Linked DNA regions of Stegostoma tigrinum. The protein of the gene in region 3 interacts with the protein of the main gene of each other region in a pairwise test. Links are inferred from orthologs where the notes say so. Each region holds a gene or a part of one and is shown on either strand. Other genes may lie near its edges. The genes, in order: mucin-2-like, erg28, tk1 and dihydropyrimidinase-related protein 1-like.

The links.
Region 1: the proteins of tk1 (region 3) and mucin-2-like interact in a two-hybrid assay, tested with the Homo sapiens proteins (2 studies listed by BioGRID and IntAct). The link is inferred for Stegostoma tigrinum from reciprocal best matches to the Homo sapiens genes TK1 and LRIF1.
Region 2: the proteins of tk1 (region 3) and erg28 interact in a two-hybrid assay, tested with the Homo sapiens proteins (2 studies listed by BioGRID and IntAct). The link is inferred for Stegostoma tigrinum from reciprocal best matches to the Homo sapiens genes TK1 and ERG28.
Region 4: the proteins of tk1 (region 3) and dihydropyrimidinase-related protein 1-like interact in a two-hybrid assay, tested with the Homo sapiens proteins (2 studies listed by BioGRID and IntAct). The link is inferred for Stegostoma tigrinum from reciprocal best matches to the Homo sapiens genes TK1 and CRMP1.

The regions. Positions count from the first base shown.
Region 1 is NC_081374.1:46,712,942-46,720,904, reverse strand, and holds the start of mucin-2-like, read right to left. Parts: upstream 3,020-7,963; 5' UTR 2,707-3,019; intron 2,283-2,706; exon of another isoform or gene 2,061-2,282; 5' UTR 1,638-2,060; coding exon 1,579-1,637; intron 1-1,578. UniProt on the Homo sapiens protein: Together with SMCHD1, involved in chromosome X inactivation in females by promoting the compaction of heterochromatin.
Region 2 is NC_081363.1:871,693-879,687, reverse strand, and holds the start of erg28 (ergosterol biosynthetic protein 28 homolog), read right to left. Parts: upstream 3,020-7,995; 5' UTR 2,991-3,019; intron 1,267-2,990; exon of another isoform or gene 1,135-1,266; intron 535-1,134; exon of another isoform or gene 155-534; intron 1-154.
Region 3 is NC_081375.1:15,188,056-15,195,153, forward strand, and holds the start of tk1 (thymidine kinase, cytosolic), read right to left. Parts: upstream 3,003-7,098; 5' UTR 2,793-3,002; coding exon 2,727-2,792; intron 2,398-2,726; coding exon 2,366-2,397; intron 1-2,365. UniProt on the Homo sapiens protein: Cell-cycle-regulated enzyme of importance in nucleotide metabolism. Catalyzes the first enzymatic step in the salvage pathway converting thymidine into thymidine monophosphate.
Region 4 is NC_081354.1:18,242,257-18,249,743, forward strand, and holds the start of dihydropyrimidinase-related protein 1-like, read right to left. Parts: upstream 3,005-7,487; 5' UTR 2,749-3,004; coding exon 2,377-2,748; intron 358-2,376; exon of another isoform or gene 123-357; coding exon of another isoform or gene 84-122; intron 1-83.

The DNA.
Region 1 (7,963 bases), on a different chromosome or scaffold from region 3:
AGGGAAGGGAAGATCAGGGGAATGTGGGCGAGGAGTGAGGGGGAGCAGGAGAATGAGGGAAAGTGAGAGCATAGGCTGGGGAAGGAGGGAGAGATGGAAGGAGGTTGGGGGAGATGATAGGGGATAGAGTTGGGATGATAGACCGGGAGGATGGAGAGGGAGACGGTAGATGGAGGGTGGGTTGGTTGGAGAATAGAGGTGGGGGAGAGAGATGGGGGGAGCGGTGTAAGGGGGAGAGAGTTAAAGGGTATGGGAAGAGGGTGTGGAGGAAGGGAGGGTAGGGCTGGACAGAGAGGTGGGGGTGAGGAGGAGGAGCGAGGGTGAGGGAAATTAGTTGTTAGGAGGGTAGGGAAGGAGGCAGAGAGTGTTTGGGGGTTGAGGTGTGGGTGACAGGGATGGTGGGGAAGGGAGAGGAGGACGGGGAGCAGTAAGAGGCGGGTTAAGGGGTAAAAAGGTGGGTGGGTGGAAGGGGGGGAGGGTGGGGGCAAGGGAGAGGCGGAGGAGAATGCGGCAAAAGGAGAGGTGGGTGGGAGACGGTTTGGTTCGGGGGTGGGAGAGCAGGGGGGGGTGGTGTGAGTCTGTGGGAGGAATGGGAGAAGAGTGGGTGGGGCAGGGGGAGGGTGAATAGGGTGGCATATTGATAATGTAAGCAGAGTGGGTGGTTGGGGGGTAGTCGGGGACGGTTGGCGGTGGGGGCTGGTGTGAAGAGAGAGCGGCGAAGGGGACGGTTAGGAGGTTAGAGGAAGATGGGGGAGGGCAGAGAGGGGCGGCAGGCGAAGCGAGATTTGCCTGGGGGGGGGGGGGTGGTGGTGGTGGTGGGGTGGGGGGAGAGAGACGGCGGGGGGGGGATGGTGGTGGTGTTGAGGAAAACATACAGTGGCTACGCGAGTTTAACGCGGCGTTTGAAGGTCCAGCTCTCGCCGTCGGGACAACTGTAAACAACTGGAGTTTGCCCGGGGTGGGGGGTGAAAGAGTGTCTCACTCTGACCCCTCCTCGTTATACCCCCACATCACACTGCCCTCAGTCTGTCCCGTTACCATCAGCAGCACTCTGAAGGACCCGAAATAAAAATCTCAAAGTGCTGGAGAATCTCAGTCGGTCCTGCCGTATCCACGCGAGTCCAGTTATATATACACCCCGTCGGAAAGGTCCGAACAGGAGTCGTGCTGGACTCGATGCGTTAATTAAGTGTTTCTTTTTCTTTTTTAAAGAAAAACAAACAGTTCTAGACTTACAGCACCCGCAGCTACTCCTCTCTATTCTCAGAACCCGAACGCACTGCCCTCACACTCTCCAAGTCTCCCCTCCGCAGCCCAGGCTGTCAAGAGCTGCTCACCGTTCAGAGGAATTCACAGATTTCCCTTCTTTTTATTTTAAAACAAAAAACCGCGGCGCGCTCAGCCTTTGAACCTCCACAGGCCGGTTTCCAACTGCCCGGCGGCTGGCTGAGGCTGTCTGCAACCTGGGAAACCCCTTCAAACCCTCACTGCCGAGGCTGCACCGGGAGGCGGGGTGCGTGCGAATCGTAACCGAAGCAGCCGGCAAAAGTACATTGAAACAGAAAGATCGGCACTTACCACGGAATAGCACCCGAACTGTCGGGGCTCTGCACAATCAGACGTTGTAGGCTGTTCATGGGGATGGGATGAGGCAGGCGCCGTGCCCAGCTCTTTGGATGATTTTGACTGCCCGTAGCCTAGGCTGCTTCAACTGCTCCCTGTTTGGGGCGGCTGTTTCCTTTGCCCCTTCTCCCCTCCCCTCTCATCCGGTGGTAGTCCTGGCGGCGGCGGGTTGTTCTTGTTGTTGCGCTGGCGGTCCCGGGGCCGCTGGGCAGCGCCACCCGGCGGCCGCCGGCGCGACTGCAGGCGGGCTCCCACAATCCTCGGGCCAGCGGGAAAGGGCGCGGGGTGGGCAGCCCCGTCCCCTCAACAACACCAAGAGACGGGGGCCAGCGGATTGCAGCGTCTCACCCCGGAGCAGAAACAAAGCGCACGGGCAGGTCAATCAGGGAGTCCGGCCACGAGGTTGCACCACCTGACAGCCATTAGAAAGCTGTGCCCTTGAAGAAAAACGAGAAGCGTCGTTGATATAACCTGAGGAAGCAGTGGGAGATGAGGCTTGACTCAGTCACGGGCTCAGGGTTTGCTCTGACAGGGGGTGGGGGTAATTACAGCGCCCGGTGGGTAACACTGCGGTTACCCCCGTCCTCATCCAACGGCCGGCGTCTCCACGCAAAAGCCCCGCGGCCACGACGCACGGCCGCTCGCGCACTCTGCCGGTGCTGATTGGGCCACCGGCTCAACCCCGACCTCCGGCGGCCGCCAATCAGAGGCCGCCCCACCCCCTTGGCCCGCGCCACCGCCCTCAGAGGGAACTGGCGCCTACGCGTTGGCCCCTGTCAATCAAAGCTGAGCCCGCCTAGCACCTTCCAGCCCCAGCAACCCCCCTAACCAAGGTAAAAAAAACCCCGAACAGCAACGCTTTGCGTGACCCTACAGGCTCATCTATAAATACATCACTTTTATTGCAGCTAGTATCCAACATGTAATATGAGCCATTAGCACTTCTTTTTGTTGCTTGATTCTTGTTGCAGTTTGAGCCTGTTTTGACATTTAGTCGCAACACTGAACTCATCCAGCAGGGTGACGAGGACGTACAGGGCGGAGCGATTTGGACTCTGATTGCCATTAATAAAACGGTGTTACCTCAAACAGCAATCTGTCGAGACTGCAGTTCCAGCTTTGTTCTCTCCACTGTACACGAAGCAGTTATCTGCGTAGCGTTGTATTTCCTGCCGATAGAATACGGTCTTGTCGGCGCTAGATCTGTGGCATGTTTAGTGCACGTATTAACAATATACAACCCTCATGGCGGTGACACGCTGACGTTTCTGCCGTCAGGTTATTTACCGGCTGATGGCTCGCAAACAGCGCCCGGAAGTTTAGTTTTGTCCTTCCTGACACATGTTGCAATAACAGTATTTCCGTAAAAGGGTCGGTTGTCGCAATCTATTGGTGCATTTTTCAATGCTGCTGATTTTAATTAACCGAAACTGCGTCTTGACCGTCAGCGCGCTCCTCCACCCCGTCTAGTGTGTGGGCGATGCGATCGCCATGATCTGGAAGGTGTGGTTCTAACTGAAAACTGCGCGCCCCCTACAGCGGGCGCTCACGGTGAAGTTAGCTGCTGAGTTATTGTAGTGTATATTTCAAGTTGTTCGGCTGACCCGGCCGTTTTTCCCCCGGGGGCTTAAATGCCATTTACGCATCAGCTGCTGACATTTGAGAGGCCAAGAGAGCTGTTATTACGGTTTGATGTTTTCTTAAGACCTCGGTTTAGAGCTAGTAATTTCAGTTTGAGGCATCGCCACGTGTTCTTATACGTTTTCTTCCTCCATTCTCAAAAATAGGCCGTGGCTGAAAAAGTAGATGAACGAATTTATTTGACTTCTGCAGGAACACTCAAAATACACGTGTGTATGTGTGGTGTTGCATTTCTCCTTGCATGTTTGTGTTTTGTCCACGCGTGTCTATGTTTTTCCATGTGTTCCATCGTAATGTATACTTTGTTTCAAATCTATAAGTATAGTTCATGTGTGGGCTTGATTAGACCCTTAGTGGTTGTTCGTTTCGTCCCTGACACTGAAGTGAGTGTGTTTCATCTCTGTTAGTCAGAGTGTGTCGCCTCTGAGTCTGTGAAGATATGCTCGCTCCCTGTGTGTTTATCATTTGTTCAATGGATGTGCGCTTGTTATCCACCCCCAGTTGTTCGGGAGAGCTGCATCTGCCTTTTGCTCACAATAGATGCGTTGTCCCCTGTTTCAGTTGCTTTGACCCTGTGTTTATGTGTGTGTTTGTCCCTGCCGGTGTCTTCTATCCTTGTACATGTGTTTGTTTTTATGGATCTGTCCCACTTTGTGCATTTTGGAGCTTTGGCCCAGTAAGCGATTGCGTTGTCCTTCACTTTATCTATTCTGTCTATTTGCACGCTTCTCCAAAGTGTGTTTTGTCCATGTATCAGTAGGTGGTGTATTCTCCCAGTATGTTCGTGTACTGTTTGACCCCGTGTGTATTTCTCCTGTGTTGCTTCTGCTCCTGTGCGTGTATTTTGTGTGCCTGTATCCTGTGTGCCTGCGGAGCACCCCTCCACCCGAATTAAGCTGTTTTACTCTATGCTAATGGAGCTAACCCTGTGTGTCTGAATTTTGCCCAGAATATGTGTTTTTCCCTTATGTATGTTTTCTCCCTTGTGTATGCCCTTTGCCTCGTGTGCAAATGAGGCTTACTCTTGTGTATGACTTTGTATTTGCCCATTCAACGTGGCGTTGCCCCATATATATATGGAGTTTGCCCCTGTATGTGTATGGGGCTTGCCCCATTGTGATGTGGAGATCTGTTCTCTCCTGTGTGAGAGTTTGATGAACGGCCTACTTCGCTGTTTTTGTGTTGCTAGGCATCTTCAGAACTTGTGGGGAGGAAAGTTCTATTTTTAATAATAAATGAATCCTTTTATTTTAGTAAAGAAGGTAGATCTCTGCCTTTTTTTTCTTTCTGATGCCTTTCACCCAACCTGGTGAACCTTTACTGGTAATATGCGCGCGCCTTCCTTTTAATTCTCGAGATTCTCGATGGCGGCGTTAGCCCCCCAGCGTTTCACAGTACACTTTCACACTAAGTCGAAAAAAATTCTGCTCGAATCGATTCAGATGGATTCCAGTTACAACTTTGACAAGTACGACGCGTTTTGACTTATAGGTAGTACAACCGTCAGCTGACCCGAGTACATGGTGTGTGGGCGGCAGGAAATCCTGTGTCAGAGTGAAACCGCTGCCTAGCCTTCTGCTGTCGTCGCTGGAACCTTTCCCATGCACTAACATTTCCTCTCCATTTAATGCAGTCCGAAAATTTCTGTATCGGGCTTGTGCCTTGTTTCGCGTCAAAATCGAACCGAATGAGAACCGAGCGGGTCACGCACAGAAACCAGTAAGCGGAAGTGGAGGGACTGGACTCAAAATGTTAACTGTTTCTCACTTCACAGATGTTACCAGACATGCTGAGTTTCTCTGGCGCATTCTGATTTTGTTCCGGATTTCCAGCACCTCCAGTCCTTCGTTTTTAATTCTCTCCTGTTCCTTCCTTACAAAATTGACGAAAGTAAAGGGACAGTGACAGCAGAAGCAAATGGTGTTGGTGTGTTCACTGTCTGCAAGAGACACTTGCTTGCGGAGTTTATGTTGAAAGCCGAACCGAGTCTATCAAAGACCTCAGCCTGGTTCTTTCGTTTCCTGATAAACTCTGCCTTCTCTTTACGTAACTCTGTGAACACTGACTGACTCACACACGGCCAGAGCCTCTGCTGATCGCTGACTCACACTGTTTGCGTACTCGGCAACTGCCTACATCGATGTAACACTCAATATACACTCCCAGAAACAAGAGGTCGTGGTAACCTTTTACAATACTCTGGGTGAAGGGTCAGATGCGGTTCTGAGCGCCGTAATTTGACACTGGAGAGAGTGAAGGTGAAATTCACCAGAATGGTTGCGGGGGTGGGGGAATTTCAGTTTGAGGATAGATTTGAGAGATTTGGGACAGCTCTTGGAAAAGTGAAGGCTTGGGACTAGATTTGATCGAGGTGTTCGAATATGAGGGACCTGGGCAGACTGTATAAGGAACTTTTTTTTCTCATTGGTGAAAGTAGTGAGAATGAAAGGAGACAGATTAGAAAATCATTTGTAAAATGAGCAAGCGAGACGTGAGTAAATAATACGTGTTACATACCGAGTGCTTAGTGTTCTGAATACACGATCTGCCAGTCTGCTGGAGACACGGATGATCGAGACATTCAAGTGGGCCCTCGATGATTATTTGCAAAAAGGAAATAATGTGTAAGGTTGCGTGAAGGGAAATTTCATTCAGAGACCCGGCGCAGGCATAATGGCCCGAATAGCCCCTCCTGCACCGTCGCAATCCTGTGATTCTGTGAGGTGATAATTGACATGGACTTGTGTTGAACCCAATACAGTATCCAGGAGCAAGGAAACATGTTAGGGACCCCAGCAGTTTCATTGATGAAGCCATCTATCTTTCCCATTGGCCTGGAGTGATTGGCTTTCGAATGTTTATGCACTTCATATCAGGCAGTGCCTTCAGCTCATAGCTCCACCATGACAATGTTTCTTCATGTTGTGTCTGCCTGTTTACCGACCAAACCCCTTAAGCGGGAGCCCGCTTCTCACCAGTTTCCTCGCCGACATAAACTCTATTCCAAAGCGGAGAGACCAGGCCTCCTCCGGCCGTTCCAACCCAAGCTGAAGGCTTTCATTCCCGGTACGACCCTAAAAATCTCTTCAGCACCCTTCTGACGTCTTTTCTGAATTATTGCCCGGGACTAACCAGTGCATTCCAAAATCAGAGTGTTGTCTATGGCAGAGTAAAAGGCCTTTCGGCCCATCGAGTCTGCGCCGGTTAAAACCAGCCACCTAACTACTCTAATCCCGTTTTCCAGGATTTGTCCCATTGTATGTCTTGGCATCTCAAGTGTACATGGAAACACTTCTTAAATGTTCTGAGGGTGTCTGTCTCTACCTCTCGTATCGTGTTCCAGATTCCCGTTGCCCTCTGGGTGAGAAGAAATCTTCGCATAATTTCCTATTCACGAACGTAAAAGTTTCATTATCTCTTTATCCGTTTTTGAGTTTAGTTATGGCTGTTATGCACGGAAATCGGTAAAACAAGATCTCACAGGCAAGTAAATTAATCACCGAGGCACTGGAATGGAGTTACGGCTATGATCCAATTGACTGGCCAAGTAGCGGAGCTATGTCCCTTTGCCCTTATGAACGAACGTTTGATTTGGGGGTTTTGGCGTCTTAGTTTACTGGAGGTATGTTTCCCAAGTCAACTGTTTGCACTTAAGTTAACAATCTCTTCCCCAAGTCAGCAGGGCGGAAGAGCTGGTCATTGATTTCAGGAAGCAAGGTGGAGGGCACGCCCCTGTCCACATGGTGTTGAGGTGGAGATGTTCCAGGGCGTCTAGGTCCTGGAAGTGATGATCACCGACGCTAAGGTCAAGAAAGCACAACAATGCTTCCACTTTCTCAGGACGCTAAGGAAATTCGGCTTGTCCTCAAAGACTTTTACCAAGTATTATAGATGCACTATAGAAAGCATTCTACTTGAGTGCACCACGGCTTGGTATGGCAAAAACTCTGCCCAGGACCGTAAGAAACCGCAGCGAGTTGTGAACACAGCCCAGTCCATCACTCAAGCCATCCTCCCACCCGCTGACTCCACCTACTCGTCCTCTGCCTCAGAAAGGCAGCCGACATGATCAAAGACCCCTCAAATCCCAGTTATAACTCTTCTAACCTCTTCCATTGGGCAGAAGATACAAAAGCTTAAACACACCGACCAACAGTTTCAAGAACAACTTCTTCCGGGCTCTTCCTGGTTTCTGATTGGACCCCTCAAGTTTTAAATTTAATATTGCTCTCGGTCTTCGTTTACCTTCCCTGTAGCCCTAGCATTGTACTCCTCGCGCTCTTCTATTACCCTAAGGCACTTTGAATAATATGATCTTCCTGTACTGCATGCAAAACACAACTTTTCACTGCACCTAGGTACATGTGACAATCATAAATGAAATCAAATCAGACCAAAATCAAAATTCCATTGACGAGGACTTTTACTATCCTGTAAAACAGCTGCAAAAGGCGGACGGTTTCGGATAATAACCATTGTATTTCCGAATAGTACTTCAGCCTAAACAGTGCGTTTAAAACAGGATCAGGTAGAGCTTAAGATTTTATTGTTTAACTGTTCACCAAATTGTATGTTGTTTGAACCGTTAGATGAAGGACGATTCTCTTAATAAGTGAGCGGGAGATGAAAACATATTTCACCATGTGAGATAGGGATGAGCACACCTTCCAATACGCTTTTTAAATCACTGGATTGGTGA
Region 2 (7,995 bases), on a different chromosome or scaffold from region 3:
ACAGCGCCCACTCCCTCAGCACTGACCCTCCGACAGCGCCCACTCCCTCAGTACTGACCCTCCGACAGCGCCCACTCCCTCAGTACTGACCCTCCGACAGCGCCCGCTCCCTCAGTACTGACCCTCCGACAGTGCCCGCTCCCTCAGCACTGACCCTCCGACAGTGCGGCGCTCCCACAGCACTGACCCTCCGACAGTGCGGCGCTCCCACAGCACTGACCCTCCGACAGCGCCCGCTCCCTCAGCACTGACCCTCCGACAATTCCCACTTCCTCAGCACTGACCCTCTGACAGTGCCCGCTCCCTCAGCACTGACCTTCCGACAGTGCGGCGCTCCCTCAGCACTGACCCTCTGACAGTGCCCGCTCCCTCAGCACTGACCCTCTGACAGTGCGGCGCTCCCATAGCACTGACCCTCTGACAGTGCGGCGCTCCCACAGCACTGACACCCCCCGACAGTGCGGCGCTCCCTCAGCACTGACCCTCCGACAGTGCGGCGCTCCCTCAGCACTGACCCTCCGACAGTGCGGCGCTCCCTCAGCACTGACCCTCCGACAGTGCGGCGCTCCCTCAGCACTGACCCTCCGACAGTGCCTGCTCCCTCAGCACTGACCCTCCGACAGTGCCCACTTCCTCAGCACTGACCCTCCGACAGTGCGGCGCTCCCTCAGCACTGACACCCCCCGACAGTGCCCACTCCCTCAGCACTGACCCTCCGACAGTGCCCGCTTCCTCAGCACTGACCCTCCGACAGTGCCCGCTCCCTCAGCACTGACCCTCCGACAGTGCCCGCTTCCTCAGCACTGACCCTCCGACAGTGCCCGCTCCCACAGCACTGACCCTCTGACAGTGCGGCGCTCCCACAGCACTGACCCTCTGACAGTGCCCACTCCCTCAGCACTGACCCTCTGACAGTGCAGCGCTCCCTCAGCTCGGACCGTCCGACAGTGCAGCGCTCCCTCAGCTCGGACCGTCCGACAGTGCGGGACTCCCTCAGCACTGACCATCCGACAGTGCGGCACTCCCTCAGCACTGACCCTCCGACAGTGCCCACTCGCTCAGCACTGACCCTCCGACAGTGCCCACTCGCTCAGCACTGACCCTCCGACAGTGCGGCACTCCCACAGCACTGACCCTCCGACAGTGCGGCGCTCCCTCAGCACTGACCCTCCGACAGTGCGGCGCTCCCTCAGCACTGACCCTCCGACAGTGCGGCGCTCCCACAGCACTGACCCTCCGACAGTGCGGCGCTCCCTCAGCACTGACCCTCCGACAGTGCGGCGCTCCCTCAGCACTGACCCTCCGACAGTGCGGCGCTCCCTCAGCACTGACCCTCCGACAGTGCGGCGCTCCCTCAGCACTGACCCTCCGACAGTGCCTGCTCCCTCAGCACTGACCCTCCGACAGTGCCCACTTCCTCAGCACTGACCCTCCGACAGTGCGGCGCTCCCTCAGCACTGACACCCCCCGACAGTGCCCACTCCCTCAGCACTGACCCTCCGACAGTGCCCGCTTCCTCAGCACTGACCCTCCGACAGTGCCCGCTCCCTCAGCACTGACCCTCCGACAGTGCCCGCTTCCTCAGCACTGACCCTCCGACAGTGCCCGCTCCCACAGCACTGACCCTCTGACAGTGCGGCGCTCCCACAGCACTGACCCTCTGACAGTGCCCACTCCCTCAGCACTGACCCTCTGACAGTGCAGCGCTCCCTCAGCTCGGACCGTCCGACAGTGCAGCGCTCCCTCAGCTCGGACCGTCCGACAGTGCGGGACTCCCTCAGCACTGACCATCCGACAGTGCGGCACTCCCTCAGCACTGACCCTCCGACAGTGCCCACTCGCTCAGCACTGACCCTCCGACAGTGCCCACTCGCTCAGCACTGACCCTCCGACAGTGCGGCACTCCCACAGCACTGACCCTCCGACAGTGCGGCGCTCCCTCAGCACTGACCCTCCGACAGTGCGGCGCTCCCACAGCACTGACCCTCCGACAGTGCGGCGCTCCCACAGCACTGACCCTCCGACAGTGCGGCGCTCCCTCAGCACTGACCCTCCGACAGTGCGGCGCTCCCTCAGCACTGACCCTCCGACAGTGCGGCGCTCCCACAGCACTGACCCCCCGACAGTGCGGCGCTCCCACAGCACTGACCCTCTGACAGTGCCCGCTCCCTCAGCACTGACCCTCCGACAGTGCCCACTCCCTCAGCACTGACCCTCCGACAGCGCCCGCTCCCTCAGTACTGACCCTCCGACAGCGCCCGCTCCCACAGCACTGACCCTCCGACAGTGCGGCGCTCCCTCAGCACTGACCCTCCGACAGTGCGGCGCTCCCTCAGCACTGACCCTCCGACAGTGCGGCGCTCCCTCAGCACTGACCCTCCGACAGTGCGGCGCTCCCACAGCACTGACCCTCCGACAGTGCGGCGCTCCCACAGCACTGACCCTCCGACAGTGCGGCGCTCCCACAGCACTGACCCTCCGACAGTGTGGCACTCCCTCAGCACTGACCCTCCGACAGTGCGGCGCTCCCACAGCACTGACCCTCTGACAGTGCCCGCTCCCTCAGCACTGACCCTCCGACAGTGCCCACTCCCTCAGCACTGACCCTCCGACAGCGCCCGCTCCCTCAGTACTGACCCTCCGACAGTGCCCACTCCCTCAGCACTGACCCTCCGACAGCGCCCGCTCCCTCAGCACTGACCCTCCGACAGTGCCCACTCCCTCAGCACTGACCCTCCGACAGCGCCCGCTCCCTCAGCACTGACCCTCCGACAGTGCCCACTCCCTCAGCACTGACCCTCCGACAGCGCCCGCTCCCTCAGCACTGACCCTCCGACAGTGCCCGCTCCCTCAGCACTGACCCTCCGACAGTGCCCACTCCCTCAGCACTGACCCTCCGACAGCGCCCGCTCCCTCAGTACTGACCCTCCGACAGCGCCCGCTCCCACAGCACTGACCCTCCGACAGTGCGGCGCTCCCTCAGCACTGACCCTCCGACAGTGCGGTGTATAAAAAAAAATCGCTTGTCCAATCTCCCACCCTCCTCCGTTGCCGATTGGCTTGGGGTGGTCTATCGGGTGGAGTGTTCATGTTTGGCAGACGTCTGCACCAATCAAACACCTAGACGTCACCGCCTGATTCTGCTCTATGCTGATTGACTACGAGCACCGCGCCCATTCTCCACCTTTTCATTCTCCTTCTTCCCAGTGGTTTCGTATTTAATTCTGTATTTCCCGTTTTTTTAGTTAATTCTCCATTTCCCCGGATTTTATTATTTAATTCCCCTTTTCCCGGGGGTTTATATTTAATTGTGCATTTCCCAGGAGTTTAGTATTTAATTCTCTTCTGTATTTTTTGGGGATTTATTATTGAATTCTCCATTTCCCGGGAGTTTATTATTTAATTCTGCATTTCCCAGAGATTTGTTATTTAATCCTCTATTTCCTGGAGGTTTATTATTTAATTCTCTATTTCCCGGGAGTTCATTATTTCATTCTCTAATTCTCAGGAGTTTATCATTTAAGTCTCCTTTTCCAGGGAGTTTATTATTTCATTCTGTATTTTCCAGGAGTTTATTATTTAATTCTGTATTTCCCCGGATTTATTATTTAATTCTCCAAATCCCAGGAGTTTATTATTTCATTCTCTATTTCTCAGGAGTTTATCATTTAAGTCTCCTTTTCCAGGGAGTTTATTATTTCATTCTCTATTTTCCAGGAGTTTATTATTTAATTCTGTATTTCCCGGGTTTTATTATTTAATTCTCCAATTTCCAGGAGTTTATTATTTCATTCTCTATTTTCCGGGAGTTTATTTCAAATGACTCATTTCAAAGAACTATAGAATCTGTACAGTCTGGAAGCAGGCCATTTGGCCCATTGAGTTACACCGACCCTCCGACCAGCTTCTCAGACAATTCCTTTATTTCCCATGGTTAATCACATCCCTGGGCACTATGGTGCAATTTCCCACATTCAGTCCACCCTAACCTGCACATCTTTGGACTGTGGGAGGAAACCAGAGCACCTGGAGGAAGCCCACACAGACACGGGGAGAATGTGCAAACTCCACACAGTCACTGCATTTCCCCCGGATCATTGTTATTGATCGACTCCTGGGGCTTTATAATTGAATTCTCCATTTCACTAGGGATTATTTTTAATTTCCCTTTTCCAAGGTTTATTATTTAACACCCCATTTCTCAGATGTTTGCTATTTTACCCTCCATTTCTCAGTGGATTATTATTTAATACATTTGCAGTTCTTTCGGATTTTATTATTTAATGTCCCCTTACATGACAGTTTCTTCTTTCATGCTCCTTAACTAGGGGCTTATTATTTCTTGCACCATTATTTGGGAGTTCATTAATTAATGTTCTATTTCTGACTAAAGGGCTGCCTTTGAAAGCTTGTGATTTCAAATAAAACCGTTGGACTATTACCTGATGTCGTGTGACTTCTGACTTTGTCCACCCCAGTCCAGCACTGGCACCTCCACATCTTTGCTACATTTGAACATTGTATGGGTCTACATATTGTTAGTCTGTAAACTGTGAAAAAGAAGTTGAACAGTGGTACATAGCTCAATGTACCAAGAGAGTCTTGGATTTGAAAATGATTTGGGATTGTGGATCAAATGTTTTAGTTTCAAAGGATTACATTATTTTTCACAGCAGTGAGATGGATACTTTATGAGTGGCACCACAGTATCTTCATATACAAATCAGACATGATCTTAAAGAATTGCACTGTAAGCTCATGGGATGGAATTAACTATTTCTGCTCCTAATTCATAAATTTATAATTCAATGACCACCTGGGACAAAAGGGCAATTTAATAAATTTCACAAGACAATTCAATGATAAACAGCCAGAAAATAAGAGAAAATTGGAGCAGCTGTAGTGATTCTGCTCTTCAAATCTGCTCCATTTATTGCATTGATGGTTTATCATCCAACTCATTCTTGAAATCATATAGAACAGGGGGAATTCCATAATCCACAGCCTCAGAGTGAAGGGACAACACTTCAGAACTGAGATGAGGAGGAATTTCTTCAGCCAGAAGCTGGTGGATCTGTGTAACATGTTGCCTTGGAAGGCTGCAGAGGCCAACTCACTCAGTGTATTTAAGAGATAGATAGGTTCTTGATTGGTGAGAGGATCAAGGGTTATGGGGAGAATTCAGGGGAAGTAGGTTAAGAAACAGATCTGCCAAGATTGAATGGTGGAGTAGTCCTGACGAGTTGAATGGCCTAATTCAACTCCTGTACGTTATGGTCTATGGTCTAACAAATATCCAAGACAGAGACTGCAGCACATACCACTGTGGGATTCCACTGGCCACATCTTGGCAATAACACAAAGATCCATTTATGCATACTTCCTGTGTTTTGGCAACCAGTTAATCTATCCATGTTAATTAAATGAAGTTTTGTTTTTCATATTAACCTTTGATGTAGCACCATGTCAAATGCGTTTCGGAAATCCGAATAAATTAGATTTACACTCTCCCCTTTATCCATAGCGGCTGTTAGTTCTTTGAAGTGCTGCAATAATTTGGTTAAACTTGATTACCCTTTCATAACGTTACCCTCAACATTGAATATGTTGAGCTTTTCTCAGTGCACAGCTGTAGTTTCTTTAGTGATTGACTCACTGCTGCTCTTTATATTCTGCCAAACATTTGACCAGCCACTCTTTTTTTTTCAGTGATAGGGTGTTTTCCTTAAGTTTGATGCTTTCCCTAACTACTTTATTTAACCGTAGATTGTGGGCAGACCTTTTTGAATTTTTCTTTATAGGAGGAAAATAGCTCCTTAAATGCCTGTCAAAGTTTCCCTAACTTTAAGTCCACAGTACATAGGAGTAGAAGTAGCTCACTGAATCTGCTCCATCATTCAATGACACTACAGCTGATATGAGAATTATTGGCTCCACTTTCCAGCCTTTTTCCCCATAATTCCCCCACTGATTAAAGATCTATCTCAGCCTTGAACATACTTATAATCCCTAGACTAGCATGCCGGTTCACTTAGGCTAGCCTAGCTTTCATGCCCACTAGTTGCTCTTACTTAGGTTTAAAAGAGGGCATTAATTAATCCTGTCACATTACACAATACCAAGTCCATTTTAGTTTGCTATAAAAGCAATATAACTTTAGGCATAGCAGATAAGGGAACGATATGAGAAGGGGGTAGTTAGCGAAAGACTGAAGGTGTTGTACTTAACGGCACACAGTGTATGAGAAAAGGGAAACAAGATTGAACACAGATTGAAATTGGCAGATATGTTGTTGTGAGTATTAGAGAGGTGTGGTTGCAAAGGGATAAGAGATCTCCGGTATGTTTCTTCTTCCTTGGGGATGAATTTCTGACATGCCTCCCAAACGAGCTCCAGAAAATCCAGTGCTGCTCTTCCCTGATAGGCTCCCTTCCAACCAACTTTGACCAACTCCTCCTTCACGTACTTATAGTCACCGTTCCTCAATTGTAAAACAGTTAACACAGTGTGGAGCTGGAGGAACACAGCAGGTCAGGAAGCATCACAGAAACAGGAAAGTCAACATTTTGGGTCAGGGCCCTTCATCAGAACTCTGCTGCCTGACCTGCTGTGTTCTTCCAGCTCCACACTGTGTTGACTCTGACTCCAGCGTCTACAGTTCTCGCTATCTCTGTAAACCCCATACATCTGATTCCACTTTCTCCTCTCAAGCTGCAGGGTGGATTCTATCACATTGTGGTCACTGTCCTCCAGGGCCTCCTTAAACCCTAATCAAGTTTGCCTCATTACACATCACCAAATCCAAAACAGCCTGTCCCCCAGTGGGCTCGATGACAACGGCTCCAAAAAAATTCTCATAGTCATTCCACAAATACTATACTCAATGTACTGGCTAATAAAGGGAATCAACAGGAGATTTTGTGGTCAGGATTGGGATTCCCGGAAGGTATGTTGCCTCCCTGGTGCCAGGGTCCGGGAAGTCTCCGATCAGGTGTATAAGGTTCGAAAAGGGGAGGGCCAACAGCCAGAAATCGTGTTACATATTGGCACTAATGATATAGCCAGAAATAGGATTCAGGATATAAAAAGTGATTTCAGGGAGTTAGGATGGAAGCTGCAAAGCAGGACCAACAGAGTAGTGTTCTCTGGTTTACTACCGGTGCCACGAGATAGCGAGACGAGGAACAGGGAGCGGGCGCAGCTTAACACGTGGCTACGCAGCTGGTGTAGGAGGGAGGGCTTCAGATATGTAGATAATTGGGATGCCTTCTGGGGAAGGTGGGACCTATACAAGGAGGACGGGTTGCATCTGAACTGGAAGGGGACCAATGTCCTGGGTGGAAGGTTTGCTCGAGTAGTTCGAGAGGGTTTAAACTAGTATGGCTGGGGGGTGGGAACCTGAGCTGTATACCGGAGGTGAGAGTTGATGCAGGTGAGGCAGTAGCAAGAGGTAGACCAGCTAGTGGGAAGGATTTTCCTGGAAAGGAACCAAGGGATCAGTTAAAGTGTGTTTGCTTTAATGCAAGGAGTATCAGGAATAAAAGTGATGAACTTAGAGCATGGATCAGTACCTGGTGCTATGATGTTGTGGCCATAACAGAGACATGGGTTTCTCATGGGCAGGAATGGTTGCTGGATCTTCCAGGGTTTAGAACATTTAAAAAGAATAGGGAGGGTGGGAAAAAAGAGGAGGGGGTGTAGCACTACTAATCAGAGAGGGTATCACAGCTACAGAAGCTTCCATTGTCGAGGAAGATCTGCCTACCGAGTCAGTATGGGTGGAAATTAGGAACAGCAAGGGAGTAGTCACCTCGTTAGGGGTTTACTACAGGCCCCCCAATAGCAGCAGGGAGATTGAAGAAAGCATAGGTTGACAGATTTTGGAAAAGTGTGGACGTAGTAGGGTTGTTGTAATGGGTGACTTTAACTTTCCTAATATTGATTGGAACCTCCTTCGAGCAGAAGATTTGAATGGAGCTGTTTTTGTAAGGTGTG
Region 3 (7,098 bases):
ACAGTCAAATGACAGTCTTAGGTCATTTGTGTAAATTTCCACCTCAGTCAGATGGTGGTGGGTTGAACACATTCTAAGCGGACATCCCAGTAAGATACTGAGAAATTGCTGTACTGTTGGAGGTACTGACTTTCCAATGAGGTGTTAGACTAATTCAGAAAAGATTCCACAGACATTTCCCTGAGCTGAAGCCACTGAGATAAGTGTCTGCAGATGCTCACTTCATTTCTCTACTTTTCTAATAATTCTATGAAAGTAATGCTTGACTTTTTAAATCTAGTTTCTTTCACTATTTTGCAGCTAAGTTTGTTGTACCCTTTATACCCAGAATGGTGCTGTGAATGGCGATAGATATTCCATATCTAATGTCCCATTTTTCTCCAAAGTTCTTGAACAATTTCCAACCCATTTTTCCAGGAATTCAGGGCTCTTAGAAGCCCTCCAAATCAGGTTTCAGCCCCTGCCATTGCATCAAGACAGCTCTTATTGAAATCTCAAAGTGAAGTGCTAAGTGGCTCTGACAAAAGGCAAACTATTCCTTCCCATTCTTCTTGACAGGCCTGTGACATTGGTATCCTACAAAGCATCCTCACTGCTATCCAAGATAATAAAATGTGAGGCTGGATGAACACAGCAGGTCCAGCAGCATCTCAGGAGCACCAAAGCTGACGTTTCGGGCCTAGACCCTTCATCAGAGAAGGGGATGGGGTGAGGGTTCTGGAATAAATAGGGAGAGAGGGGGAGGCGGACCGAAGATGGAGAGTAAAGAAGATAGGTGGAGAGGAGAGTATAGGTGGGGAGGTAGGGAGGGGATAGGTCAGTCCAGGGAAGACGGACAGGTCAAGGAGGTGGGATGAGGTTAGTAGGTAGGAGATGGAGGTGCGGCTTGGGGTGGGAGGAAGAACAGGTTAGGGAGGCAGAGACAGGTTGGACTGGTTTTGGGATGCAGTGGGTGGAGGGGAAGAGCTGGGCTGGTTGTGTGGTGCAGTGGGGGGAGGGGACGAACTGGGCTGGTTTTGGGATGCGGTGGGGGAAGGGGAGATTTTGAAGCTGGTGAAGTCCACATTGATACCATTGGGCTGCAGGGTTCCCAAGCGGAACATGAGTTGCTGTTCCTGCAACCTTCGGGTGGCATCATTGTGGCACTGCAGGAGGCCCATGATGGACATGTCATCTAAAGAATGGGAGGGGGAGTGGAAATGGTTTGCGACTGGGAGGTGCAGTTGTTTATTGCGAACCCTCACCCCTATCCCAGGCCCCAAGATGACTTTCCACATTAAGCAGAGGTTCACCTGCACATCTGCCAATGTGGTATACTGCATCCACTGTACCCGGTGTGGCTTCCTCTACATTGGGGAAACCAAGTGGAGGCTTAGGGACCGCTTTGCAGAACACCTCCGCTCGGTTCGCAATAAACAACTAAGCTAAAGGCAGTGCAAGTCGCCATGGAAGTTTTCTTGAATTGCAACAGCAAAAATCGAAGTTTGGAAGTTATGTCACTGGGAAAATGTGAGGCCCACGGCTCTAAATCACCTGATACCCAGTACTAAATGAGCTGAGAAGTGTTAAGGAAAACCAAAATCTTCACTCCCAGCTGTAAACTCCATTGCCTTGCCACTGACTCGATCCCTCTCCCTGGTTACTGTGAGCAGCTGAAGCAAAAAAAAAATTGCATTCTCGGTGTCACAACTGAATTCAGGTGCAGATTTGCCCCAAGAAACGAAATTCCCTCCCCAAAACCTCTTAAATTCTCTTTTCTCCTTTCAGACACTCCCCAAAACATATTTGACAAAATAATGTTCATGGTCACTTGTTCTGAAACCCTACTGGGGTGTCAGATCTTATTTCAAAATGTTCAGTAAAAGGTCCTTGGGACGATAAGGCTCTATATAAACGCGAGTTACTGTTGTTATTGACTCCTCAGTTAATAACTGGAAAGAACGTCCAAAAAAAAGTGTTGAACGTTTCTCAAACTGGGAGATAACACATCAGGGCAGATGGAACATTGAGAGATTTGTAGCAATCGAAACAGATTTGAAACGTTTCCAAGCAGATATTACAGAATGATACACCATTCGGAGGAGAGGAATCGCGGAGATATATCCCAGTGCTGGATGACCAGCAGAGAGAAATAAAGTGTGGATTAAAATCCAGGACACTTTGGTGTCTTGGCCCTGGTAGAAGCGGGAATGAAACTGTGGAATAAAAGCAGAGGCCGGTTTGCGGAACACAGTTGGCCGGAAACAAAACACTTCGCGCCAAGTAGCAAGGAGGTCACCAACAAATTCACAGCCTCAGCGACCAGGCAGAACCTTTCTATCTGAAAGTCTTATTTGAAAAACAAATGCAACGTTATATCTGTTACCTTTTCCCTGAGAACATCGGTCCGAAGATGATCTGTAAATTGCAAAAAGAAAGGAAACATCCTTAAGATCAATTCTCTGATGATAGTGGCGCCTTTGGCGAGATACAGGAAGTGGGATCAAAAACGAAAAAAAAATCAAAACGATTGCAGAAATACTGTCTTAAAATCAGACCCACACCAAGTTTAACATGGGTCAATTTCTGCATATTTATCACAGATTCATTGAGTGAAATAAAAATATCTCAAACAATCTCTACAATGCTGGGTATCTCTTCTAGGAGATTCTGGTCAAGCTTTGTTTTAAAAACAGTGTCCTCGATTATTCTGAAGAATCAACAGTGTGCATTTTTATCCCCCTTACCTGAATCTGACCCTTCACTTTACGCGGAGATGAAACTGGGATTTCTGGGGTGTAGGAACAGTCCATTGTATCAGAAAGTAAAATATAAACAGTTATACAAACACCAGCTGATATAAATAGAAATAAAGATTGTGGAGCGGAAACAAAACAAAATAGATGCCCAGGAAAAAGAATAAAAAGCGAAATATAACAGAGTGATGAAAGATTCTGAGCGCAGAGAGAAACAGCAGAAAAGGGCAAAGCGTTTTCAAATTTAATACCCCCGCCAAAATTACGTCAAGAGATGAAAGTGACAATTTGTTGTCACGTGGGCCGAGCCAGCCAATAGACCTCTTTCAGTGACACTAGCTGATTTGTGAAACACCAAAAAACTACAGGCACCTATGAGATTGGAAGAAATACATTTTTAAGATAGCAGGATTTCCCAAAGTGAAGGTCATCATATCAGAACAATTGAAACATGTTGTCCTCAAATTAAACACAATAATCTACACAAAGAACAATACAGCACAGGAGCAGGTGCGTGCTGACTCATTTTGCCCTTCTGTACTAAAAGTGTCTTCAGTTACACGAGAGATAATGGGAACTGCAGATGCTGGAGATTCCAAGATAATAAAATGTGAGGCTGGATGAACACAGCAGGCCAAGCAGCATCTCAGGAGCACAAAAGCTGACGTTTCGGGCCTAGACCCTTCATCAGAGAGGGGGATGGGGGGAGGGAACTGGAATAAATAGGGAGAGAGGGGGAGGCGGACCGAAGATGGAGAGTAAAGAAGATAGGTGGAGAGGGTGTAGGTGGGGAGGTAGGGAGGGGATAGGTCAGTCCAGGGAAGACGGACAGGTCAAGGAGGTGGGATGAGGTTAGTAGGTAGCTGGGGGTGCGGCTTGGGGTGGGAGGAAGGGATGGGTGAGAGGAAGAACCGGTTAGGGAGGCAGAGACAGGTTGGACTGGTTTTGGGATGCAGTGGGTGGGGGGGAAGAGCTGGGCTGGTTGTGTGGTGCAGTGGGGGGAGGGGATGAACTGGGCTGGTTTAGGGATGCAGTGGGGGAAGGGGAGATTTTGAAACTGGTGAAGTCCATACTCATATTCCGCCTGGGAACCCTGCAGCCATATGGTATCAATGTGGACTTCACCAGTTTCAAAATCTCCCCTTCCCCCACTGCACCACACAACCAGCCCAGCTCTTCCCCCCCACCCACTGCATCCCAAAACCAGTCCAACCTGTCTCTGCCTCCCTAACCGGTTCTTCCTCTCACCCATCCCTTCCTCCCACCCCAAGCCGCACCCCCAGCTACCTACTAACCTCATCCCACCTCCTTGACCTGTCCGTCTTCCCTGGACTGACCTATCCCCTCCCTACCTCCCCACCTACACCCTCTCCACCTATCTTCTTTACTCTCCATCTTCGGTCCGCCTCCCCCTCTCTCCCTATTTATTCCAGTTCCCTCCCCCCATCCCCCTCTCTGATGAAGGGTCTAGGCCCGAAACGTCAGCTTTTGTGCTCCTGAGATGCTGCTTGGCCTGCTGTGTTCATCCAGCCTCACATTCAGTTACACGATCCACTTGCCTCTATTCCCTTCCTGTTCATGTATTCATCCAGGTGCATCTTGAATGTTGCCATTGTGTCTGCTTCCACCGCCTCTGGCAGTGTGTTCCAGGCACTCATTGTTCTTTGTGTGAAAAAAATTGCCTTGCACATCACTTTTAAACTTTGGCCTCCTCTCTACACCCTAAATGACTGTCCCCTAGTTATTAACCTCTCCACCCTGAGAAAAAGCCTCAAAATTCCCACTCTGTCAATGCCATTCACAATCTTATAAACTTCTATCAGAGATAATGGGAACTGCAGATGCTGGAGATTCCAAGATAATAAAATGTGAGGCTGGATGAACACAGCAGGCCAAGCAGCATCTCAGGAGCACAAAAGCTGACGTTTCGGGCCTAGACCCTTCATCAGAGAGGGGGATGGGGGGAGGGAACTGGAATAAATAGGGAGAGAGGGGGAGGCGGGCCGAAGATGGAGAGTAAAGAAGATAGGTGGAGAAGGTGTGGGTGGGGAGGTAGGGAGGGGATAGGTCAGTCCAGGGAAGACGGACAGGTCAAGGAGGTGGGATGAGGTTAGTAGGTAGCTGGGGGTGCGGCTTGGGGTGGGAGGAAGGGATGGGTGAGAGGAAGAACCGGTTAGGGAGGCAGAGACAGGTTGGACTGGTTTTGGGATGCAGTGGGTGGGGGGGGGAAGAGCTGGGCTGGTTGTGTGGTGCAGTGGGGGGAGGGGATGAACTGGGCTGGTTTAGGGATGCAGTAGGGGAAGGGGAGATTTTGAAACTGGTGAAGTCCACATTGATACCATATGGCTGCAGGGTTCCCAGGCGGAATATGAGTTGCTGTTCCTGCAACCTTCGGGTGGCATCATTGTGGCAGTGCAGGAGGCCCATGATGGACATGTCATCAAGAGAATGGGAGGGGGAGTGGAAATGGTTTGCGACTGGGAGGTGCAGTTGTTTGTTGCGAACTGAGCGGAGGTGTTCTGCAAAGCGGTCCCCAAGCCTCCGCTTGGTTTCCCCAATGTAGAGAAAGCCGCACCGGGTACAGTGGATGCAGTATACCACATTGGCAGATGTGCAGGTGAACCTCTGCTTAATGTGGAATGTCACCTTGGGGCCTGGGATGGGTCCCTAAACCAGCCCAGTTCATCCCCTCCCCCCACTGCACCACACAACCAGCCCAGCTCTTCCCCCCCACCCACTGCATCCCAAAACCAGTCCAACCTGTCTCTGCCTCCCTAACCAGTTCTTCCTCTCACCCATCCCTTCCTCCCACCCCAAGCCGCACCCCCAGCTACCTACTAACCTCATCCCACCTCCTTGACCTGTCCGTCTTCCCTGGACTGACCTATCCCCTCCCTACCTCCCCACCCACACCTTCTCCACCTATCTTCTTTACTCTCCATCTTCGGCCCGCCTCCCCCTCTCTCCCTATTTATTCCAGTTCCCTCCCCCCATCCCCCTCTCTGATGAAGGGTCTAGGCCCGAAACGTCAGCTTTTGTGCTCCTGAGATGCTGCTTGGCCTGCTGTGTTCATCCAGCCTCACATTTTATTATCTTATAAACTTCTATCATGGTTTCTTCCAAATCATTTACGTAGATCACAAACAACAGAGGTCCCATCACTGATCTCTGTGGAATACCATTAGTCACAACTCTTCATTCTGAAAATCAACCTACCCCCCCGTCTCCTATGACTAATCTGGTTCTGTATCCATCTTGCCAGCTCATCTGGATACCACGTGACTTCAACTTTTGAACCATTCTGCCATGAGGGACCTTGTCAAAGGTTTTACTGAACATCATCAACTTACACAACATCAACCATTTCTCCCTTATCATTCACCTTCGTCACCTCCTCATGAAAACTTGATCAAGATAGTGAGGCACGACCTCCCCTCCCACAAAACAATGCTGTCTATTGCTAATAATTCAATTTGCTTCTAAATACATATAGATCTTGTTCCTGAGAATCTTTTTCCAATAATTTCCTTACCACCAACGTGAAGTTGTCTACCTCTAATAAGTCAATTTTCTTCTAAATGCATATAGATGTGGTCCCTGAGAATCTTTTCCAATAATCTCCCTATTACCAACATGAGGCTCGCAGGCCTGTAATTATTAAACAATGGGACAACATTGGCTGCACCATTCATGATGTACATCAGTGCCCTGCTGTATTCACTACTGGCATCAAGTCCTGACACACTCAATAGGTAGTGGGGCTTGATTTCCAGCACAATGCCACAGTGAATCCTGACAAGGTTTGGGGTCTCTTTTGCTGGGATTTTGGCGCAAAGACAAGACAAGATTGAATGTGGAGTTAGTGTAAAGGAGAAGGATATACACCAGGTTTTGCATTTAAAAAGTAAGATGACAGTAGAATCTGCAAAACCTTTCCAGCAAATAGAAGAGGCATCTCAGATGAAGAGATCTAAAAGAGACCATAAAAGCCAAAGTAATTGAATTGGCAAGTATGTTAGATGTGCAATTGCCTGTCTGGGCTAAGCAGGCCAAGATAAGTATGAGCATCACAATTGAGCTGGGTAGAAATACATAGAACATAGACATAGAACATAGAACATTACAGCACAGTACAGGCCCTTCGGTCCTCGATGTTGTGCTGACCTGTCATACCGATCTCAAGCCTATCTAACCTACACTATTCCATGTACGTCCATATGCTTGTCCAATGATGACTTAAATGTACCTAAAGTTGGTGAATCTACTACCGTTGCAGGCAAAGCGTTCCATTCCCTTACTACTCTCTGAGTAAAGAAACTACCTCTGACATCTGTCCTATATCTTTCACCCCTCAATTTAAAAC
Region 4 (7,487 bases), on a different chromosome or scaffold from region 3:
AAAACACCGACACACACACACACACACACACACACACACGGCGAGACAGACTGGGACGGTCTTTCCAGAAAGAAAGGGCTTACCGTTACGCGGTGCACATCCTGGCCGTCTTGGTTGGACATGTTTGTCTGTGTTTTTGTTTTATTGTGAGCAGAGGAGAAACGGCAGGTTTTCCAGCTCTTAAACTGGATGGGCAATCGACACGCTAACGCTCGATTCTTCTTTTTTTTGCAAAAAGAATATTTATTTGTGAATTGTGTTTTTTGTGGGGGGGGGGGAATGTGAGGCTAGAGAAAGGTGTCAGTCGGCGGCCATCCGGAGGGACTTTGAGTGAGAGCTCCTTCTAGAGACCTGAGAGGACACTGCAGCTGCTCGTAACCTCAGGAAGCGCTTTCCCAGAGCAAGGCGGGGAGCTCCTGTAAATTTTTAATATATGCACGGCAAAGTGGGCGTAGCAGCCAGGGCCAGCATTGGCTGCTCATGCCTGGTTCTGCCGAAGCCACGTTCTCGAGCCTCTGACCCACTGACCGGCCAGGAACAGTCCCACATTTCCAGGTCTGTGACTGTATGAGCGGTGGTCAAATCCTTTGGGTGCGCTGACAGTCTCCCTACCAGTGTGGAAACAGGCCCTTCGGCCCAACAAGTCCACACCGACCCACGGAGCATCCTCCCCACACCCGTCCCCCTCTCACCTACCGAAGCCTACACGTCCCTAGACGCTGCGGGTAATTTAGCATGGCCAATCCATCTAGCCTGCACCTCTTCGAACTGTGGGAGGAAACCCACGCAGACACAGGGAGAATGTGCTCTTGCCCTTTGGTGTGGGGGAGCTAACTGGGTGTGGCAGATGCTGTCAGAGAAGCTTTGGTAGGGTTGCTGCACTGCTACGGTAGATGATACATCTCTACAGCCACTGTGAACCCCGGAGGGACGAGTGCTGGGGGTTATTGGCTCTGTACACACGTAGCAAGTGGGGAGTGCCCCACCGCCCTCTTGTGCCGTGTCCATGGGGAAAACAAGTTCCTCAGTACAATATTCCCCGCTCCCAGGCTCGCTTTAGAGTCATTGCATTCACGTGGCTAGCTCAGATTCTGTTCAGTAGAGATCTCCCCAGGTTTTGTGTGGGCGGTAGGGAATGGGGTTGGCTGCACAAGGATAATCGCACTGCATATCAAAGGAAGCCATCCCATGTTTGCAAATAGCCATTGCCTGATGCTTGTGTGGCACACATAGTACTTGGCACAAGCCTCGATGGTACCCGTGTCTTTGGGCATCGGGGAGCACAGATTGCTTAAGATTTTAAGAGATTCTGCAAGGAATGGTTCCGCCCTCCGATGCCATTCTAAAGCTGCAGTAATCTCAGTTTGGTTCCATGGGTCATCATGGCGAGATATTGAAGCATTGGCTGACCCCCACCCCCCACCCGCCCCAACCTCTTATATAGCGGAAAGTGTATCTTAATGGCTCTTTTCCTCTCGCACCCAACTCTCCCTGTTTGTTGTCTGTAACTTCTCACTGAATCCATGCTGTGCAATGTAAACTGCCGCTTCAGATCCCGCTGTCTTGTTCCAATCCAAGGAAACATCAATGATCACGAAGTACTCTCTAAGATTACTGACGTCCCAAAGACGGCAAGCCCGCATTTCATTCGTCTCTGAATGTGTGCGAATAAAGTCGAATTTATGGGGGGACAGCCTCTTTGTTTGATCATGTTGCTCGGTTCAGGTGGGACGGTGAGGAACTAAAGTCAGGGAGCATTGTGAGAGAAACTCTTTACCCATCCCCCGCTTCTGCGGAAACAGACTGAACTGAAAAGCCCCTCTATTATTGGAAGCATTTTGTGTGAAGAAACGCGAGGGGGAGAATTAGGGTTTGGGGTCAGTCACGTTGCAAACAGACAATAGCTCCCGTGGAGCCAGCAAGGAAAGATGTGGGGAGATGTCCGAAAATTTAAAAAAAAGGCTAATCCCTGATCTTCTTGACACGCTTTTTGAGTGAATGGAAACTACGGCAGCTGGCTGTAGCTGGTTCCACTCCCTCCGGTCTAATCTACAGCTTTCCCTGAAAAAGAGGCGCCAGTTCAATGAAGTCCCCAGAACAAAAGAATCCTTCTGGGTGACTGGAAGGCATTTGCAAGCAGAAATTAGACCTGTTCCGCTCATTGGTTTGCACCCTGGCGTGATATCACCACTTTGGAAGCACTTGTGTACAATTTCGAGACAATAAGTGTTTAAATGAGGACTGTTCCAGTGATGGATAAACTGGGTTAGGTGTGAGGTTTTATGATTGTTTAGGTGAGCAATATAAGATAACGTGTTTGTGTGTGTGTGGAGGTGGGGTGGATGGGAATGGTAATGATGGAGTTTCGCTGGGTACCTTGCCCTGCTCCCAGCCCTGGAGCAGCTCCTTGCCAGTCGGAGGTTTGATCTCCAGCGGACCTCTCTCCTCCCTCTCACCGGGAGAGCTGATGACCGAGCCGGAGACCTCACTGACATCGCTGGCGGTTTCGCTCAGTCCGTCTGACTCCGGTGACAGCAGGTCTTGTCTGCTGGAGCTCCGAGATGCCTTGCAGCTCCGGCGCCCCACGCTGTAGGCATCGAAATCTATTGTCTTCCTCTCGTACGCACCTTCCACGGTGCAGAACATGCCCCCGTATTTCTGCCGGGGCGTTTGAGCCGTGGTGCCCGGTCTGGCCAGGTACACGGGCAGGTCATCTTCCTTGTTCCAATGTCTTTTCTCCTCAGCCATGCCTGGTCCAGTCTCCGAGGAGAGGAGAGAGAGAGAAGGGGAGGGGTGGAATGATAGCACTTATTCTCACTCAACGCCACAGTCTGTCACACTTTCTTGCACACACACACACACACACAGACACACACAGTAGCAAACCAGTAGACCCCCAGCCAGGATCTGACCACTTAAATGAATCCTCTGGGCGACAGGCTATTCCATTCAAAGCCTCCCTGACACGGAAGTAAAAGCGTCAGAATCAATGAGAAAGTGTCGCCGTTGGCTCAGCTAACTCTGTCTCTCCCCCCACCCACCCCGCCCTGTCATTCCTTCCCTTCAAGGAGGGGCTTTGGATTGAATATTCTGTGAGCGGGAGCCGGGAGGGTGAGGGGCGGCGTCGGTCTGAGAGCAACTGTCTGGAGACGATCGATCAAAGTGTATGTGGTGTGTGTGTGAGTGAAAGAGAGAGTGGCAAAGCCATTCACTTCACAGTGAGCTGTCCGTTCAGCACCTCCTGACAGAACTGGCTCAGGGAGCTGGGCCGCGTCTTCGCCCTGAGCTTTGTCTGGGATCAAGCTTTCGTGTTGCTTTATTTTTGTGACCTGACCTCTTCGGAGTTTGCAACAAGTTTGCCCGTCCCTCCTGCACAGTAGAACATAGAACATAGAACAGTACAGCACAGAACAGGCCCTTCAGCCCACAATGTTGTGCCGACCATTGATCCTCATGTATGCACCCTCAAATTTCTGTGACCATATGCATGTCCAGCAGTCTCTTAAATGACCCCAATGACCTTGCTTCCACAACTGCTGCTGGCAACGCATTCCATGCTCTCACAACTCTCTGCGTAAAGAACCTGCCTCTGACATCCCCTCGATACTTTCCACCAACCAGCTTAAAACTATGACCCCTCGTGCTAGCCATTTCTGCCCTGGGAAATAGTCTCTGGCTATCGACTCTATCTATGCCTCTCATTATCTTGTATACCTCAATTAGGTCCCCTCTCCTCCTCCTTTTCTCCAATGAAAAGAGACCGAGCTCAGTCAACCTCTCTTCATAAGATAAGCCCTCCAGTCCAGGCAGCATCCTGGTAAACCTCCTCTGAACCCTCTCCAAAGCATCCACATCTTTCCTATAATAGGGCGCCCAGAACTGGACGCAGTATTCCAAGTGCGGTCTAACCAAAGTTTTATAGAGCTGCAACAAGATCTCACGACTCTTAAACTCAATCCCCCTGTTAATGAAAGCCAAAACACCATATGCTTTCTTAACAACCCTGTCCACTTGGGTGGCCATTTTAAGGGATCTATGTATCTGCACACCAAGATCCCTCTGTTCCTCCACGCTGCCAAGAATCCTATCCTTAATCCTGTACTCAGCTTTCAAATTCGACCTTCCAAAATGCATCACCTCGCATTTATCCAGGTTGAACTCCATCTGCCACGTCTCAGCCCATCTCTGCATCCTGTCAATGTCCCGCTGCAGCCTACAACAGCCCTCTACACTGTCAACGACACCTCCGACCTTTGTGTCGTCTGCAAACTTGCTGACCCATCCTTCAATTCCCTCGTCCAAGTCATTAATAAAAATTACAAACAGTAGAGGCCCAAGGACAGAGCCCTGTGGAACCCCACTCACCACTGACTTCCAGGCAGAATATTTTCCTTCTACTACCACTCGCTGTCTTCTGTTGGCCAGCCAATTCTGTATCCAAGCAGCTAAGTTCCCCTGTATCCCATTCCTCCTGACCTTCTGAATGAGCCTTCCATGGGGAACCTTATCAAATGCCTTACTGAAGTCCATATACACCACATCCACAGCTCGACCCTCATCAACCTTTCTAGTCACATCCTCAAAAAACTCGATAAGGTTTGTAAGGCATGACCTACCCCTCACAAAGCCGTGTTGACTGTATTTGATCAAGCCATGCTCTTCCAGATGGTCATAAATCTTATCCCTCAGAATCCTTTCTAACACCTTGCAGACGACAGACGTGAGACTTACCGGTCTATAATTGCCGGGGATTTCCCTATTTCCTTTCTTGAAGAGAGGAATTACATTTGCCTCTCTCCAGTCCTCAGGTACGACTCCAGTGGAGAGCGAGGATGCAAAGATCTTCGCAAGTGGCGAAGCAATTGCATTTCTCGCTTCCCAAAGCAGCCGAGGACAAATCTGATCCGGGCCTGGCGACTTGTCAATCTTAATGTTTCACAAAATTTTCAGCACATCAGCTTCCTCTATCTCTATCCATTCCAGCATGCACACCTGCTCTTCAAAGGTTTCATTCACTACAAAGTTGGTTTCTTTCGTAAAGACAGAAGCAAAAAACTCATTTAGGGCTTCCCCTACCTCCTCAGGCTCCACACACAAGTTCCCTATGCTATCCCTGATCGGCCCTGCTCTTTCTTTGACCATTCTCTTATTCCTCACATAAGTGTAAAATGCCTTTGTGTTTTCCCGGATTCCTTCTGCCAAGCCTTTCTCGTGCCCCCTCCTGGCTCTCCTCAGACCATTTTTGAGCTCCTTCCTTGCCTGCATGTAATCCTCTCTAGCTGAACTTGACCCTAGCTTCCTCCACCTTATGTAAGCTACCTTCTTCCTTTTCACTAGAAGCTCCACCGCTCTTGTCATCCAAGGTTCCTTAATCTTACCCCTTCTTGCCTGTCTCAGAGGGACATATTTACTCATCACTCCCAACAACTGTTCCTTAAACCATCTCCACATGTCTATAGTTCCCTTACCATGGAACAACTGCTCCCAGTCCATGCTTCCTAACTCGTGTCTAATCGCATCATAGTTTCCTCTTCCCCAATTAAATATCCTCCCATTCTGCCTAATCCTCTCCTTCTCCATAGCTATGTAGAATGTGAGAGAGTTATGGTCACTATCACCAAAATGCTCTCCCACCACAAGATCTGATACCTGCCCCGGCTCGTTTCCGAGCACCAAGTCTAGAATGGCCTCTCCCCTCGTCGGCCTGTCAACGTACTGCGTTAGGAAACCCTCCTGAACACACCTTACAAAAACAGCTCCATTCAAATCTTCTGCTCGAAGGAGGTTCCAATCAATATTAGGAAAGTTAAAGTCACCCATTACAACAACCCTACTGCGTGCACACTTTTCCAAAATCTGTCGACCTATGCTTTCTACAATCTCCCTGCTGCTATTGGGGGGCCTGTAGTAAACCCCTAACGAGGTGACTACTCCCTTGCTGTTCCTAATTTCCACCCATACTGACTCAGTAGGCAGATCTACCCATGGTACTACCCATTACCACTGTTTGAAAAAAAATCCTAGTACTGGAAGAGATATCTGCGTTCTAACTTTATTTTTAAATGTCAAATAATCTATTTGACCACTTACGTCCAGCTCGACCAACAAAACATTTCGAAGTGCAGACACACGGTGAATTCGGATTTGTAGGTGTACAAGGACCTGCGTGTAATAAGTCACAGAAAGCTAACAATTCAGGTACAGCAAGCAATTTAGGGGACACTGGTTTATTCACCTTCATTGCAATGAGATTTGAGTACAGAAGTAAAGGTGCATTGGTTCACTTGCGTGAAATCTTTGAGAGACTCCGCCTGCAGTATTGTGTATAGATTTAGCCCCCATATTTGCAAAATGATATAGTTGCAAAAGTGCAGCGTAGGTTCAAGAGACTTACTGGTGACATGGATGCACTGTCATCTGAGAGGTTGAGGAGACAAAGACAATACTGCCTCATACTTCAAAGAATGAGAGGTAATCTCCTTGAAAGTCACACAATCCTTAAGGCGCTGCACAGGTTTTAGGCAAAAGGGATGTTCCCCTGGCTGTGTGAGCTAGGAAACAGTCTCAAAATATGGGGCAGGCCATTTGGAGCGGAGACGACAAGGATTTTCTTCACTCAGAGGCAATGAATCTTTGGAATTCTCTACATAGGTGGACTGTGGAAGGTCAGTCATTGAGAATATTCAAGAAAGAAATCAATAGCATTCTGGATACAACTGACATTAACAGAAAGGGGATCATTGTAGTAGATTATCAATAAACATCTCAAATAATGGAGCAGACTTGAGAAACTGAATGGCCTACTTCTCCTATTTTCAAATGAGCAGGGACTATTCTGTAGCTCGTCTATTCTCCCATTAGATCATGGTTGATGTAAACCTCAACTCAACTCACTTGTCTTTTCCCCCATATCATCCAATAGATTTTATGAACCAATTTCTTCGCCTCATAACAATAAATGCAATTGTTTTACAACAAATGCACATTATAAATTAACTTGTTGTCTGCCTTACAGAGTGCAAAGTGTTGCAGGTGGTATAGTGTGATTTACATATACTGCCAAATGCGATGTACCCTGAACATTAAACACCGCTAAAGGAAGTTAATTCATACACATATCTATCATTGGTTACAGGAGCACTCGGAGTTTAGTTCTGTTTTTATGGTAAGCTTTACTTAGAGTGTTACATGATACTTGTGTAATGCTTGATTCAGGTAAACCATTGATCAGGAAAGTTGGTTAAGTTCACCAAATTAAAACTTCTTCATTTAGTTCAATCACATAATGATAAGTGAACAATGTAAAATTGGATGTCCTCTCTATACAAAAATGGTTAATAAATGGTAAAAAAAAAGGTTAATAAATAGAAGACAACTTAGGGTTGAGCACTCAGGGAGATATACACGCAGATCAAGGCATAGTGGCAGTACTGTGTGCCATCAACAAGATGTGCTGTGGCATATCACCAAGATTTCCTCGAAAGCAC